2 linked regions of the Coturnix japonica genome follow. Each later gene encodes a partner of the first gene's protein in a complex. Links are inferred from orthologs where the notes say so. Each region holds a gene or a part of one and is shown on either strand. Other genes may lie near its edges.

Evidence for each region. The genes of interacting proteins can lie anywhere in the genome.
Region 2: the proteins of NGFR (region 1) and ARHGDIA are in contact, whole or in part, in an NMR structure (PDB 8X8T), measured with the Homo sapiens proteins. The link is inferred for Coturnix japonica from reciprocal best matches to the Homo sapiens genes NGFR and ARHGDIA. Residues at the interface, in NP_002498.1 of Homo sapiens: Arg274, Trp275, Ser277, Cys278, Lys279, Gln280, Lys282, Gln283, Gly284, Ala285, Ser287, Arg288, Pro289, Val290, Asn291, Gln292, Thr293, Pro294, Pro295, Pro296, Glu299, Lys300, Leu301, Ile307, Ser308, Val309, Gln312, Ser313, Asp316, Gln317; in NP_001172006.1 of Homo sapiens: Ala8, Glu9, Leu11, Ala12, Gln13, Ile14, Ala15, Ala16, Glu17, Asn18, Glu19, Glu20, Asp21, Glu22, Val25, Pro30, Ala31, Gln32, Lys33, Ile35, Gln36, Glu37, Ile38, Gln39, Glu40, Leu41, Asp42, Lys43, Asp44, Asp45.

The regions. Positions count from the first base shown.
Region 1 is NC_029542.1:2,820,750-2,827,115, reverse strand, and holds the start of NGFR (tumor necrosis factor receptor superfamily member 16), read left to right. Parts: upstream 1-2,093; 5' UTR 2,094-2,149; coding exon 2,150-2,191; exon of another isoform or gene 2,192-3,428; intron 3,429-5,008; exon of another isoform or gene 5,009-5,199; intron 5,200-5,516; coding exon 5,517-5,658; intron 5,659-6,366. UniProt on the Homo sapiens protein: Low affinity receptor which can bind to NGF, BDNF, NTF3, and NTF4. Forms a heterodimeric receptor with SORCS2 that binds the precursor forms of NGF, BDNF and NTF3 with high affinity, and has much lower affinity for mature NGF and BDNF.
Region 2 is NC_029533.1:4,448,796-4,455,161, forward strand, and holds the start of ARHGDIA (rho GDP-dissociation inhibitor 1), read left to right. Parts: upstream 1-2,529; 5' UTR 2,530-2,647; intron 2,648-6,366. Other genes in the region: ALYREF (THO complex subunit 4), read left to right, coding at 737-884, 979-1,042, 1,196-1,373, 2,147-2,161. UniProt on the Homo sapiens protein: Controls Rho proteins homeostasis. Regulates the GDP/GTP exchange reaction of the Rho proteins by inhibiting the dissociation of GDP from them, and the subsequent binding of GTP to them.

The DNA of each region.
Region 1 (6,366 bases):
GTTGCAGGCAGTGCTGTGCTCTGCCAGCAGCCCTGAGGATGCTCCCTGAGCAAATGCAAGCCCAGAGCTTTTGGTTTTAATTCTGAGAGGTGACAGCTGACTTTTAAGAGGCATTTTGTCATTGCACAGAGCCAGGAAAGGGCCACAACCTTTCTGGGAGAGGAAAAAAAAAGCATGAGGTGGGGGTAAATGTAAAGCACAAGGAGTGCCTTCACCAAAGGAGCCACGCGGGTTGGGATGGAGCAGCAGTTTCCACTTACTTGTGCTGGCTGCCTGCCCAGCCCCGTGCAGATGCAGCCCATCTGAGCGGCCGTCTCTGTCCGTCCGTCTCTGCTTTGCGTCACTGCGGTGAGGTTGTTCTTGGGGTGACACTCGTGGTGGTGTCAGAGCATCATAAAACACCCGAGCTCTGCACTGGGGCTTGGGGGAGTTGCTCTTTCACATCCTTCTCCAGGGGAGTGTTGCAGCCTGGAGGTGCATCCCACAGGGAAAGGCCACATCCTGGGGTGGAGGGATGGATGAAATGGGCCCATGGCAGCAGCTCAGCTTCCCCCCCCTCCTTGCTCATTGCAGCAGACCAGCAAAGGCAATTGGTGTCATAAGACCCAAGCTGCTCCCTCAGCTGTGTCCAGCTCTGCCAGATGTCCACAAGCAGCTTTGCCCCATTGCCAATCATCCAAGCACTGAAAAGGGTGAGGGATGATTGGCTCATGGTGGGTGGCAGCCATCCCATCCCATCCCATCCCATCCCATCCCATCCCATCCCATCCCATCCCCACATCCAGTCTCTGTGCACGCTGCCCTGTCCCCACCTGGCCCTGAACCCATCACCATGTGGCTCACATGTGTTCCCACGCTGCCTCATTGGAGAACAAACAGCAGCTTTGGCTTTGGGTTAATCTTATTTAAAGAGGGACTTTCCTCAAAGCCGCCCACAGGAGCTGCCAGCCATACAAGCATCACAGATCATATACTCATAGAGTCATTAAGGTTAGGAGCTCGCTGCTCAGGAAGGAATCCAGCTTGTGTCTGCCAACAGGACAACATCGTGATCCCAACACAGTAAAGCTGAGAGATGGACAGCAGCAGGGTGACAGAGACAGACCCACAGACACCACTGCTCCATCCTATGCTAGGTGAAAGCACTGGGGGCAGAGTGACGTAAGCAGGGGGCGAAGGAATCCTTCATCCCTCCCAACCCCGGCGCCAGCATTTCTGGGCAGCCTCCAGCAAACCTTCTCACCAAAGCCACACAAAACTCGCTGCATATTTTTTCCAACAAACCTCACAAAGAGCGTTTTTGGTGCTGACACACCAAGGCAGGAGCCAAACTGAGCTGGGGAAAGGCCATGACATTTCCAGCTCCGCTCCCTGACACGCAGCTTGAGTTCACAACCACGGGGCTGGGGCTGGGCAGGATGGGGACAGAGCAGCTCTGTGATGGAGTGGAAGCACTGGGGAGCAGCACACGTTGGGGCTGTAGGACAGGAAGGATGTCAATGTGCTATTTTACACCTGCGGGTGGAAATACAAACAGGAGCAGGTGGCTTTGTGCACTGCAGCCTCTCCTGCGGTGACAAAGGGAAATTCTCTTTGTCACCGGGATTGCTGTGACAATGCTGAGTTTGAGTTTGAGTCCTGGGGATGTTACCTGTGGGATGCTGTCTCTTGGCTGTGCAGCCAGAGGGGATCTGGTCACCCCATCCCAGCTACAGCCTGGAGCCTCGCTCTGTTCTTATAATTAACGAACCCATTTGCTCACCCATCATGAGGACCGTGCTGGTGAAGGGCTGGAGCGAGGTGTGCGGAGATGGATGGACGTGGGTGTGTGAGAGACGGACAGGCAGACAGACAGACGACAGGGAAGAGTGTGTGGGGACAGACGGACGAGAATCATTGGAGGGTGGAGGGGTCGGCTGGATTGAGACCAAACACACCCGAAAACGTTTCGTGGGTGGGCGGTGGGTGCTGGGGAGGGGTCCGGGCTTTGTGTGCCGACAGAGGAGGGTGCTGGCTCGGCTGCTCGCCGTGATGCTCCGGGGGCGGAGAGGAGGAGGAGGAGGGACTTGCAGCCCTTTTCTGGTGCTGCCGAGACGGCGGGCGGCAGAGGGAGGGCAGCCCGGGGGATGCGAGGTGGCCCCGGAGCACCATGGCCGGGTTCGTACCGCTGCTGCTGCTCCTGCTGCCGACGGTGAGTGAGGGGCTGAGGGCTAAGCCGGGGGGGGTCCGGACACAGAGGGGAATGGGCATGGACAGCACGGACTGTCCCGGTCCTGCTGGGATGGAGGGGTACCATGGGACTGTGGGGTTCTGCTCGGAGGGTCCCGGGGGTATCGGGAGTGGGAGTGTCAATTGTATGGGGATGGAGGGTCCCAGAAGGTTTGGGTGCATAGGGAGAGGAGTGGTGATGTGAGTGGTGGGGGGAACACCGTAGGGATTTCTCGCTCAGCCCCTCATGTTCCGCTGACACCGAGCTGAGCTCTGCCTTCCCTTTTCTCCATAGGAGGTTATGGGAATAAAGCAGCCCCACCTCTGTGCCCCCACCTCCTGAACCCCACACCTTCAAAGACTCCCACAGACCTTCCCTTCCTGGCTCCAAACTCACTGCCCAGCACGAAGGGCAAAGCCCCAGGGATGGGCACAGCCTCAGCCTGCGCTGGAGACAAAACTTCAGAGCAAGGGAAACCAGGGAAGAAGGAGAGTCCCAGAAAAGGGGATAAGGGGACGCACTGAGCCACCTGGGGCAGAAATGGGGCTTTTGCTGCTGGAGGATGTGTGGGGTCCCAGAGGGCTCAGTGGGCAGCAGGACGCTGTAGGGTAGGGCATTAAAGCTGCTGCTTCAGCAGGCTCATGTAGAGACTGAGGGGGAGAATGGTGTGGGTGGCTCATGGCTCCAAGTTGGGTTTGGTGTCCCCCATTTCCCACAGCTAACCCCACAGGTCTGGGCTGCCCTTAGGGTTGCACCTGCCAAGCCCATCCAGCCCCATAGAGATCTGGGGTAGTTGGAAACCTGCTGTTCCTCTGAGCCCCAAGCGGGGCAGGTCCAAATGTGCACTCGCAGCTGTGGGCTGTATCCCCAGCACCCCATTGCCACAGCTCCTTACCTGCACTGCTCAGACTAGAGCTGGGTCAGGGGAGGAGGCAGAGCCCTGTGGGACCCACACGGCTCAGACGTGACTCTCCCACTGCCCAAAGTTTGGGGAGTGCTGGGATGCGGATCTTCAGCCTTTTCTAGACAGGTTGCTCCGCCAAAATACACAGAACCCGTCTGTCAGCCTTGCGGGCCGTTCGGATCCAGGCTTGCCGCTGGGCCCGTCTCCAGCTGAAGCATTGCTGCCGTTCCCCGTTTCAGAGCAGCTCAGCTTTCCGTGCCAGTGTTTGGGTGATGATGGTGCTGAGCTGCGCACATCTTCCTCCAAGGCCACCCCCTGTAGGGCAAGGGAACACCAAAACGACTCCAAAAGCAATTAAAAGCTTTCAAAGGTGTTGCTCGCACCCTCAGCGCTTCCCCCCGTGCCCTCCCCTCTCCTCCCCCCTCCCCAACCCCAGTCCAGCTGTCAAAATGCTTTATGGTGTTAATACCTGTGGCTTTGTCAACGGGAGTTGTGTTAATAACATGCACATTTCAGCGGGCTAATGCAGACCATGTGCCCCTCTTATAAGCGTGTTAATCTTTATGGATGTTTCAGCGCTTGAGATGTAGAAAGGGAAACGTAGGCGGGGAGGTTTGGGGGGTGAGGGGTGGGGGGGTGCAGCATCTGGGGCTGGAAGGTGCGTTTTCCGCATCATTTAGAAACACGGAGGGTAGGACAACCCTACGGGGAGGGGACCGTGGAGTGTTGGACAACTAGGGGAGGTCGGGGGGGGGGGGTCCGGTTTGGCACAGAGGAAACAGCGTAACCGGGTTCTGTCCCTGTGGGTTTTGCTTCGCAGCTGCCTCAGGCGCGGGCGGCGTGGGAGAGCTGGCTGCTGCGGCCCCAGCTGCACCGCTCCGGCCTTCCCAACACTATTTATAGCCAAGTTCAGATGCTCCCCTCTTCCCCAAACCCTCCCGAGCAGGAGAACATGCTGCAGGTGCTGGGGAAAAGGAAGCAGCATGGAGAGCTCCAGCCCCACTCTGCCACGCGCATCGCTGCTGCCTGGAGCCGTCCCTGTTGCAAAGAGAGCCCTTTGCTCCCCCCCACTCCTATTTCCAAGGGGGTGTTTCCATTTGGGGGGTGTTGGGAGGGTCCCTCCGTGCCAAGCATCCCACCCGTGTAGCTGGGGCTGGGTGCCAACACGGGCTGGCAAAGCAGCGCAGAAGGAGAACGCACGCTTCCAAGAGAAGGGTAATTGGAGCACTTTGTCATTCAGATGCCTATAATTGGCGCTCCATTGTCTCTCTGGCCGGGCCGGCTGATGCCGGTTGATGCGCCTATGAGTTCATAACACCGCATTGTGCAGAGCGGCGGCCAAAGGGGCTGACGAGGCGGCCAGATGAACGGGGACGTGGAGCTCCTCCGCCTCCTGGAGAGTTTCTTCCCCTCCAAAATCAGCCTTAACTTGGTGGCAAAGGGACGGTTCCCCCCCCCGAAAGGAGCCCATCCCCGACAGCAGCCTTCCCATCGAGTACAGTGGACCCGAGTGTGAGCACACACTGACCCTGGATGGTCACAGCTGCTGCTGTTGCTGTCCCTTCGGGTGGCCCCAGTTCTGAGCACTGCTCTGCCTCCTCACTGCCTCATTCAGCAGCCCAACAGCACCATCTGTCCCGACACCATCTGCCCCATCCTCTTTCCTTACAAACTCATCCCAGCTGCCACACCAGGAACTTTGGGACCCTCCAGACTGTAAGCAGGAGGAGCAAAGCCAGCCCCACACATCACCCCTGGCCAAGGAGTGCACTGGGGAATGGCCATCGCTTCTCCCTAAGCTACAAAGTGGATGCGCAGAGGTTCTAACCGCACTGCTCATGGCATATTTATTGCTTCCATATGTGATGACAGGTTTTATAAGTTAGTACACTTACTCCTGTCAGACAGCTGAAGCTCTCTGTGCTCCTGTCAAAGTCTTCATTTCCACTGAGGGGTCTGATTTCTGATCCCAGTGCAGAATTGGGACCTCAGCCCTCTGAACCCTTCACTGGGGCTGGCAGCTTTTTGCAAGCAACGGAGGGCTGAGTTGCTCAGAACAGCACAGCATCAGTAGAGGGAACAGCTCCTGTGATGGGGACATAATGCTGTAAGCCTACAGAAAAGCCAGCATCCCCCTAAGACCCACAAACCCAGACCAAGGGCTGTCATTGCCTCCCTTGATCAGTAGCATTTGGTAGAAGCTTTGCAAATGAACAAGCTTTGCATAGGAAAGTCATTTATCTCCCCTTTCTCCCAGGTCCTATACCTAACACACAGCCCCCCTTTAGCCCAGACATTGAGTATCCACCCTGCAGCAAAACCATCCCTGGATACAGCATCTCTGTCAGCCCATCGTTGCAATTCCCATAACAAGAGTCACCTCTGGGCTGTTTTCTCTCCCAGGGACCCACCTGGGGCTCCAAGGAAAAGTGCTTGACCAAGATGTACACGACGAGCGGTGAATGCTGCAAAGCCTGCAACCTGGGTGAGGGCGTGGTGCAGCCCTGTGGGGTCAACCAGACCGTCTGTGAGCCCTGCCTGGACAGTGAGTAGTGATATATGGGGCTTTTGGGGAACACCTGAATCCACCCTATGGACATCTGTTGTGTAGATGCATTTCGTGCCATTCAGTTCCATCTTCCCAATGCACAGAGCCTCAAACCTCAGCACTGTTTCCAACAGTTCCCCAAAGCCTGCCCAGCAAATCCCAGCAGCTCTCCCTGTTTGGGGACCCAATGGTGCTAGGCATTATTGCAGATCCCCTTCCAGTTCCTCCATTGCATTAATAGCTCCTTGCTAGCAATTGCCTCCCAAATTTTCCTCTCTTCATGCTGCTCTCCAACCCAGCCATATCACAGGAGCCACCTGTACTATTGCTACTTTTACCTTGTAAAGGCTGCGAAACAAAAGCAAGTCGGAGGGGAGAGAAGCAAATCATGAGTCCCCAAGAGAGGCAGGGAGCTTTCTGCTGGCCGACTCCAGGCACATTGCCTATGTCAAATGCTTCATAAATGTCGGTCGGAGCTTTGTGCAGAGCTGGTTAAATGCTTGCAGATGAAGTGGTCCAGCTATTACTGCTTAAACAATGCCATGATAGGCAGAAAACGATCTACCCTGCAAATTTACTGCTGCAAGCTCTTTGAAGACCTGGGGACAAATATTTGTAGGGGGATCTGTGCCAGCCAAGCCCCGAATTGAAAGGCAGAATTGGCAGAGCACCGTTGTAGGGGAAGTAAAGAGAGTCAGAGAGCAG
Region 2 (6,366 bases), on another chromosome or scaffold:
TCTCCTCCCATGTGGTGCTGTCTTCCAGAAAGCTTGTTGGGTGCTGTATGTTCATGTTTAGTAAATGGACACAGTAGAGAAACTCACTGACAGGCTTGCATAAAGTGCAGCTGGCTTAAGAAGTGAAAATATTTATATGCTCCTTTCAAATGCTTGGATAGGAATTATAGAGATGGCTGGAATAGTGTTTGGGCTCTGCTGCAGGTGATATGGAAGGCAGCCTGTGGTGTCTGCTTTGGACACCTGACAATTCTGTGTGCTTCAAACATTTGAAGAGTGGGGTGTAGGTATAAACTTGCAAAGTAGTGAGATGTCCCCAGATGTACATCTTAGATGTAGCCTCTGTGAAACAAAATGGGTGGCTCCACTGTTGCAGCCTTCCATCGCTCGTGATGGTAAACGATGCTCTTCAGTAGAAGATTTCCTGCTTTCAGTTTATACAGACTGGCAATGTCCCTGGGAAGAGGAGCAGGTCAGCATACCTTGGGGCCACTTTGTTGGCTGTATACAAGCACCCTTCAAGTGGTGGATATGAAATCCTGTTTGTTTCTGCCACCTGTGGCTGCTTTCTGGAAGTCTTTAGTGGCCTGTGTTCCTTCTTTCACTGGTGCTATTTGCGTGGTGTCATGGAATGTACATGATATTGCTGAAAGCAGGAGCTGCCTGCACCTTCTCTGGGCTGCTCGGTGTTTGCAGAGCTGACTGAAGCATATTCACTTCTCCCTCTGTTTCTCAGGAACTCTTTGCGGAATTTGGGACCTTGAAGAAGGCAGCAGTGCACTACGACAGATCCGGACGCAGTCTAGGAACAGCAGATGTGCATTTTGAAAGGAAAGCAGATGCTCTGAAAGCTATGAAGCAGTACAATGGAGTCCCCTTGGATGGTGAGTCTCTGTGGCTGTCGTGTGCTTCTCTGCACGGCTGATGGCATCTGTGTGCCTGCCACACTCACAGGGTAACTGGCTGCTTTTCCTGCAGGGCGCCCCATGAACATTCAGCTGGTTACATCACAGATAGATACACAGAGGAGACCAGCACAGAGGTGAGAAGCCGCGGGAGTCGCTGTGCCAGTCAGCACGGGGAGTGAACTGGCCTGTGTAGGAAGCATGGAATCCTCCTCGTGTCCTGCAACCTTCTGAGTGCCTGTTGGGGTTAACCAGAATGCACTATAACAGTTGCTTTTTAAAAATCACAGTGTAAACAGAGGTGGAATGACCAGAAACCGTGGTGGTACAGGAGGATTTGGTGGTGGAGGTACCAGGCGAGGTAGTCGTGGTGGGAGCAGAGGGAGAGGCAGAGGGGCTGGAAGAACTTCCAAACAGCAGCTCTCTGCAGAAGAACTAGATGCACAGCTGGATGCTTACAATGCCAGGGTAAGTGCTGCTCACATGATGGTCACGGGTACCTACAGCGTCCTTTTGATAAACACTGGCAGCTGGCTGGAAAGAGAAATTGTTTTTCAGGTCATTTGACTTAAATAGCCTCCCTCTAAAGCTGAGCATTGCCCTGTTCCTTCAGCTGCCTTAGCTCTCCACATCTACTGTTACTCATGAGTAATAAATAGCCCCTTTTCCAACTTCTCCTGGCTTGTTGAAGCCTGTGTCAACCAGAATTGGCAGTAATCAAGATGTGTGATGAACGAAAGCTATGAACCAAAGCCCAAAGGGATAATAGGCTGGAAAAATGAAAAGCAAAAAGAAAAAACACATAAAATAACCAGCTTGGTGCTAAGAAAGGAAAAAAAGTCAATGATGCTGATCACCCCTAATGCAGGTGGATGAGCAGAGCAGTGCACATGGTTTCTTTCATTCAGAATGAGCTCAGATATTGTGCCACAACAAGACTAAAGTCTTAACTGAGAATCAGTTAAGAAGTGATGCAGGGACTTGGCCCAAGCACTGAGGTGCAGTTTAGGTCTGCTCAGTGTGTGCTGTGGATTGGGCTGCATCTCCGCCATTGAGGCAGCAGCATCCTGGGGTTGGCAGGCAGGGCTGGGGGGTGTCAGGGTTGGGGATGGAGCTGGGGGGTTGTGGGGCCATGGTGGGTTGTGGGGTCATGGTGGGTTATGGGGCCGTGGTGGGTTATGGGGCCATGGTGGGTTATGGGGTCATGGTGGCTGCTGACGCTCCTCTCTGTTCTCTTCCAGATGGACACCAGCTAAAGCGTTGAGCGGCGCATGGAAGGACTGCAGACATCTCATTCCATGCTGTGTGGCGGGAGGGGTGTGCGACTGTGGCTACTAATATCAAGGATGGGATTTGTTTTACTTTTATGTTTTGGAATAGGTTTTAAACTCATGTAAAGGTTTTTTTTAATTCTGAAGCCAGACCCGTTTTGTACCGAGTTATTTTTGGGATAAATTTTACTGGTTGCCTGTTGGGCCGAGGTGGCTTTTTCACCTTTGCCGTAATAAAATAGAACCGTGTCTAGAGCTCCGCCTGCTCCCTGCCGCGCGCTCCTTTCCCGCGCCCGCGCTGCGCGGCGAACGCGCGCGTACTCCCTGAGCCAATCAGAACGCAGCGTCGAGGCAGGAAGTGAGGAGCGGGACACGCCCTCGTATAACGGGAAGTGACGGGCGTGTCCCGGAAGTGCGGGGGTGCGCGGGCGGCTGGGCGGATCCCGGCGGCGTTGGACCGCGGCGCGGACGGTGAGAGCGGCCGGGACGGCGGGACCGGGCGGGGCGGGGCCAAGGGAGCGGGGCGGGGGGCGCCGGGATCCGCCATGTGCGCTGCGGCCGGGCCGGGTCCCGCGGGCTCAGCGCCACGCCAGGGTCCGGGGCGCGGCCGAGGGGGCAGCGGGCGCCGTCCGGGTGCGCGGCGGGGAGCGGAGCGAAGAGCGGCGCCTTCGTGCCTTGAGGCCGCCCCGGCCGCCGCTGTCGGACCGGAGCCGGGTGGGGACCCGCTGGCTTCAAATAGATTCTCCATAAATGGTTTCGAGCTTTGAAAGGAGGAACTTGAAGGCGACTTCCCCACGGTTGGGTTCGTTTGGCGTTAGAGCCGAGACGTCGGTGCAGCACCGGGTGCAGGATGGAGGATGGAGCGGCAGTGAGCGCTGTCCGGGCTGCGGGGCCTCATGGCCGTGCCGGAAGGATGGTGCCGTTTCCCTGCCTGGGCGGGCGCGTTGCGTGAAGCCGTGACTTCCTTCTCTTAAAGAGCTCTCGGTTGTAGCACTCAATTATCGCTGTGAGAGCTTCAGGTCCCGGCCGTAGTGCTCTATATAGTGCTCTATGGGCTCGGTTCTCTTGCAGTGGTCCCGTTCTTGTCCCAGAGATGCTGAGTGGCGGCCGCTTCCACGTGGTGCCCAGGAGACATTTGCAGCTCCTGCAGTGTGGTCGTGCTGTAGCTCTGCAGTCGTTGTACTTACAGGTGCATAGTGCTCACCGTGCAGCTTGTTTGAGTACGAGGCTGCAAGGGCTTCTTAAATCCGATAAGCAGTGGGAGCTGTCTGCTCGTTCTCGGGTGATGCTCGTGGCAGGTGATACCTGCAGGTGTTGTGCAGTGCAGGGCAGTGTCACCAGCACGGTGCACAACTGCGGATCTGGCTGCAGAGCACCTGGCAGCAGCTGCTGTGCGACCCACAGCTCCTCCCCACGCCTGGAGCTGTGACAGGGATCAGCCTTAGGGCAAGGCGGGAGATCTCCATGCTCATAAAGCAGCTCAGCAATGCTGTGGGAGCACCCAGCGCTGTGCTCCTGAGGCTAAACCTGCCTGCAGGCAGCACTGGGGGGGGGTCACTGCTCTGCTGCTGCCACGCAATTAGACCTGGCTCTGGGCAAGCTCACGTCTGGCCCCTCGAGCTGCCATCATACGGGGTGTCTGTGCTGCTTGAACTGGTTTTAGCAGCTCTTGCTTCCTGTTTCTGCAGCACAGCAGCTTATGCAGCCCTGAGATGAACCAGGGTGGTTGAACCGACCTGTGTGGGAAGTAACCTTGCAGAAAGCCACATTGGATTCCAAGTGGCTTTGCTGTGCAGCTTCATCAGCTTTCCCTTGTGCTGCAGCGAAAAAAGGAAGGGTGTGGACTGCTTGAATTGGCGCTGTGTGTGTCCGTGGCTGAGCTGAGGCCTGACGGATGTCCGAAGCCAATTAGGTCATCTGTAAAGACTCTGACCACTCTTATGTCACTGCACAAGTACCTTGGGATCGTGGCCCTGGCATGTAAAGAAATCACTGCTCATCCCTGCCTGATAACGGTGTTCTTTTCCTAGCAGTGTTTCTATCTGGCAGAAGGTGGGGCTCGTGTGTTCACTGCTGTTCGCTCCTTGGTATCGAACTAAAAATACTGAGAGAACTCAGGAGAAACTGCTGACTTCAGGAAGCGGCGCAGGCAGCTGAGTGCAGATCTGCAGATGGGAAATAATTTGGTTTCTGCTGCTTTCTGCAGGCCCCAGTAACCAGCAGAGCTTCCATTTCCAGACATTCTGGGACATCCCTGAGGCCGCAGTGCTCTCCTGTGGTTGAGTGCAGGGTGGCACAGAGGCAGCAGCTGCACTGTTCTGTGAGCCAGGTGTGTCTGCAGTCAGAGCCATGGGCTCGGGCGGTGCCGCACAGGGTGTGCAGGTGCCTTCCGGGTTTCAAAGTTGCTGAGGGGGAATTCCTTGCAGAGGCCTTGGGGTGGTGCCTGGGTGTGAGGCTCAGGGCTGAAGGTGCCATTGCTGCTGGAGGTTGGTGTTCTGGGAGGTTTCAGTCACGAGGCTGAGCCCTCTGAAGGGGTTGTGGCCTCAGGTCCCCGTTCCTCTGCCCCCACCTCTGCAGCAGCATGTGCTGGAGCCATGATCCTACAGGACGTTGGGCATGGCATGAGATGGATGCCCGACCCAGTGTTCCAGTGTGTTGAGTCCCTCAGCTCTGCTCTGCCTAGCAGTACGACAGCTCCTCCTGCATGCACCCGACCAGCTCTGTTCTACTCATTCTAGGCTGTAGGAAATGCATTGTTATAGAAGCACGGAGCAGCCTGATGCTGCTGGGAGCCTCCTTTCTCCCTGGCAGAATACTCAGGGCAGCAGCTGAGCACTGTGATGTGAGGCTGCACAATGCTGTGTGCTGGGAGCAGGGTCAGCCGGGCGCAGTGGGAGCACGATGCCATCAGAACACTGCAGCAGAGGGGCTGTGGTGCAGCCAGCTCCATGAGGCTCCTCCAGGCCTCGCTGCACATTTTTCCTGTGCTTCCTTGCAGAGCTGAGACCCAGCCTGTCTTGAGCTGCTGTTTGGAACATTGCTTGCTGTTTCTGGTAACTTTGGGTCAGTTTGAAGAGCCACTTTTCACCCATGGACTTCCATGGGGTGCTCGTGGGGGAGGGAGGGGAGGGGTGAAGTCTGGCTTGGAGCTGAAACTGAGGGCAAAATGAGATTAAGCACTGGAACAAATGCTTGAGTGAGTGTTTGTTGAACACTTTTGGGAGCCTTCAAGCCTGGAAGCTTTCTTGGATGGGAGCCTAAAGGAAATGACTGGTTTCGATATGGATTTTCTAGGGTGAGAGCTACTCGGTTGCTCATGTATGGCATAAGATTTGAATGTAAATTTCCATGGCAATCAGTGCCAGGGACCTGGAGAATCCCTTTCTGCTGGTAGAGCTCAGTCAGGTTTTGATGCCCGCTGCAAGTACCCTTTGTGCACCCATGTTGGTGCCCCAGCCTCCCTGGGAGGTGCTGCCAGCCCAGGGCAGCTCAGATTTGCTCTTGTGTTTGGCTGGGGGTTCACCCACACGGGATCTGACAGCACCTCATCTCAGTGCCAGCATTGAGCTACAGCCCTGGTGCTGTGCTGGAGGCCGCTCTCATACCCTGGATCAGCCATAGTCATCAGGCAGAGATGTGCAACATATCACTCTAATTTGTCTCCTTGGCAGAACATTCCTAATATTTATGGCTAAAAACACCATCTACACATACCTCTGCTGTTGTGCTCTTGCAGCTGTCGCCAGGCTCAAGATGGAGGCAGACACAACTTGTCTTGTGTCACTGCACAATGTGCTCTGTGAGCTGTGTGTGCTCAGTGCCAGCGCTCAGGTTTTTCTCTCCCTGTCTGGGTGACACATTGGGTAGGAATGAAGTCGTTGAGTTAAGGGCTGTTATGTCAGCTAGTTCCAAGAGGAGAAGAGCAAATAGCAGTTGGCTTACGTAGCATAGCCTGTGCTGCAGACTTTGGGTTTTCCTTTACAAGTCAGCATTTCTGGATGTATCCTGGTCTTCTGTGGGGGCACGTGGAGATCAGAATTAAGATCATAGTGTTGATTTATTTGGAAACTGGATGGCAGAGCAAAGAATGCAGTTTTCCAGTCTGAGTCATGTGTGCTGATACACGACTCCAGACAGGAATGCAGAATGGGACGTGGAAATGCCAGGTAATAACGGGAATACCTGCATCC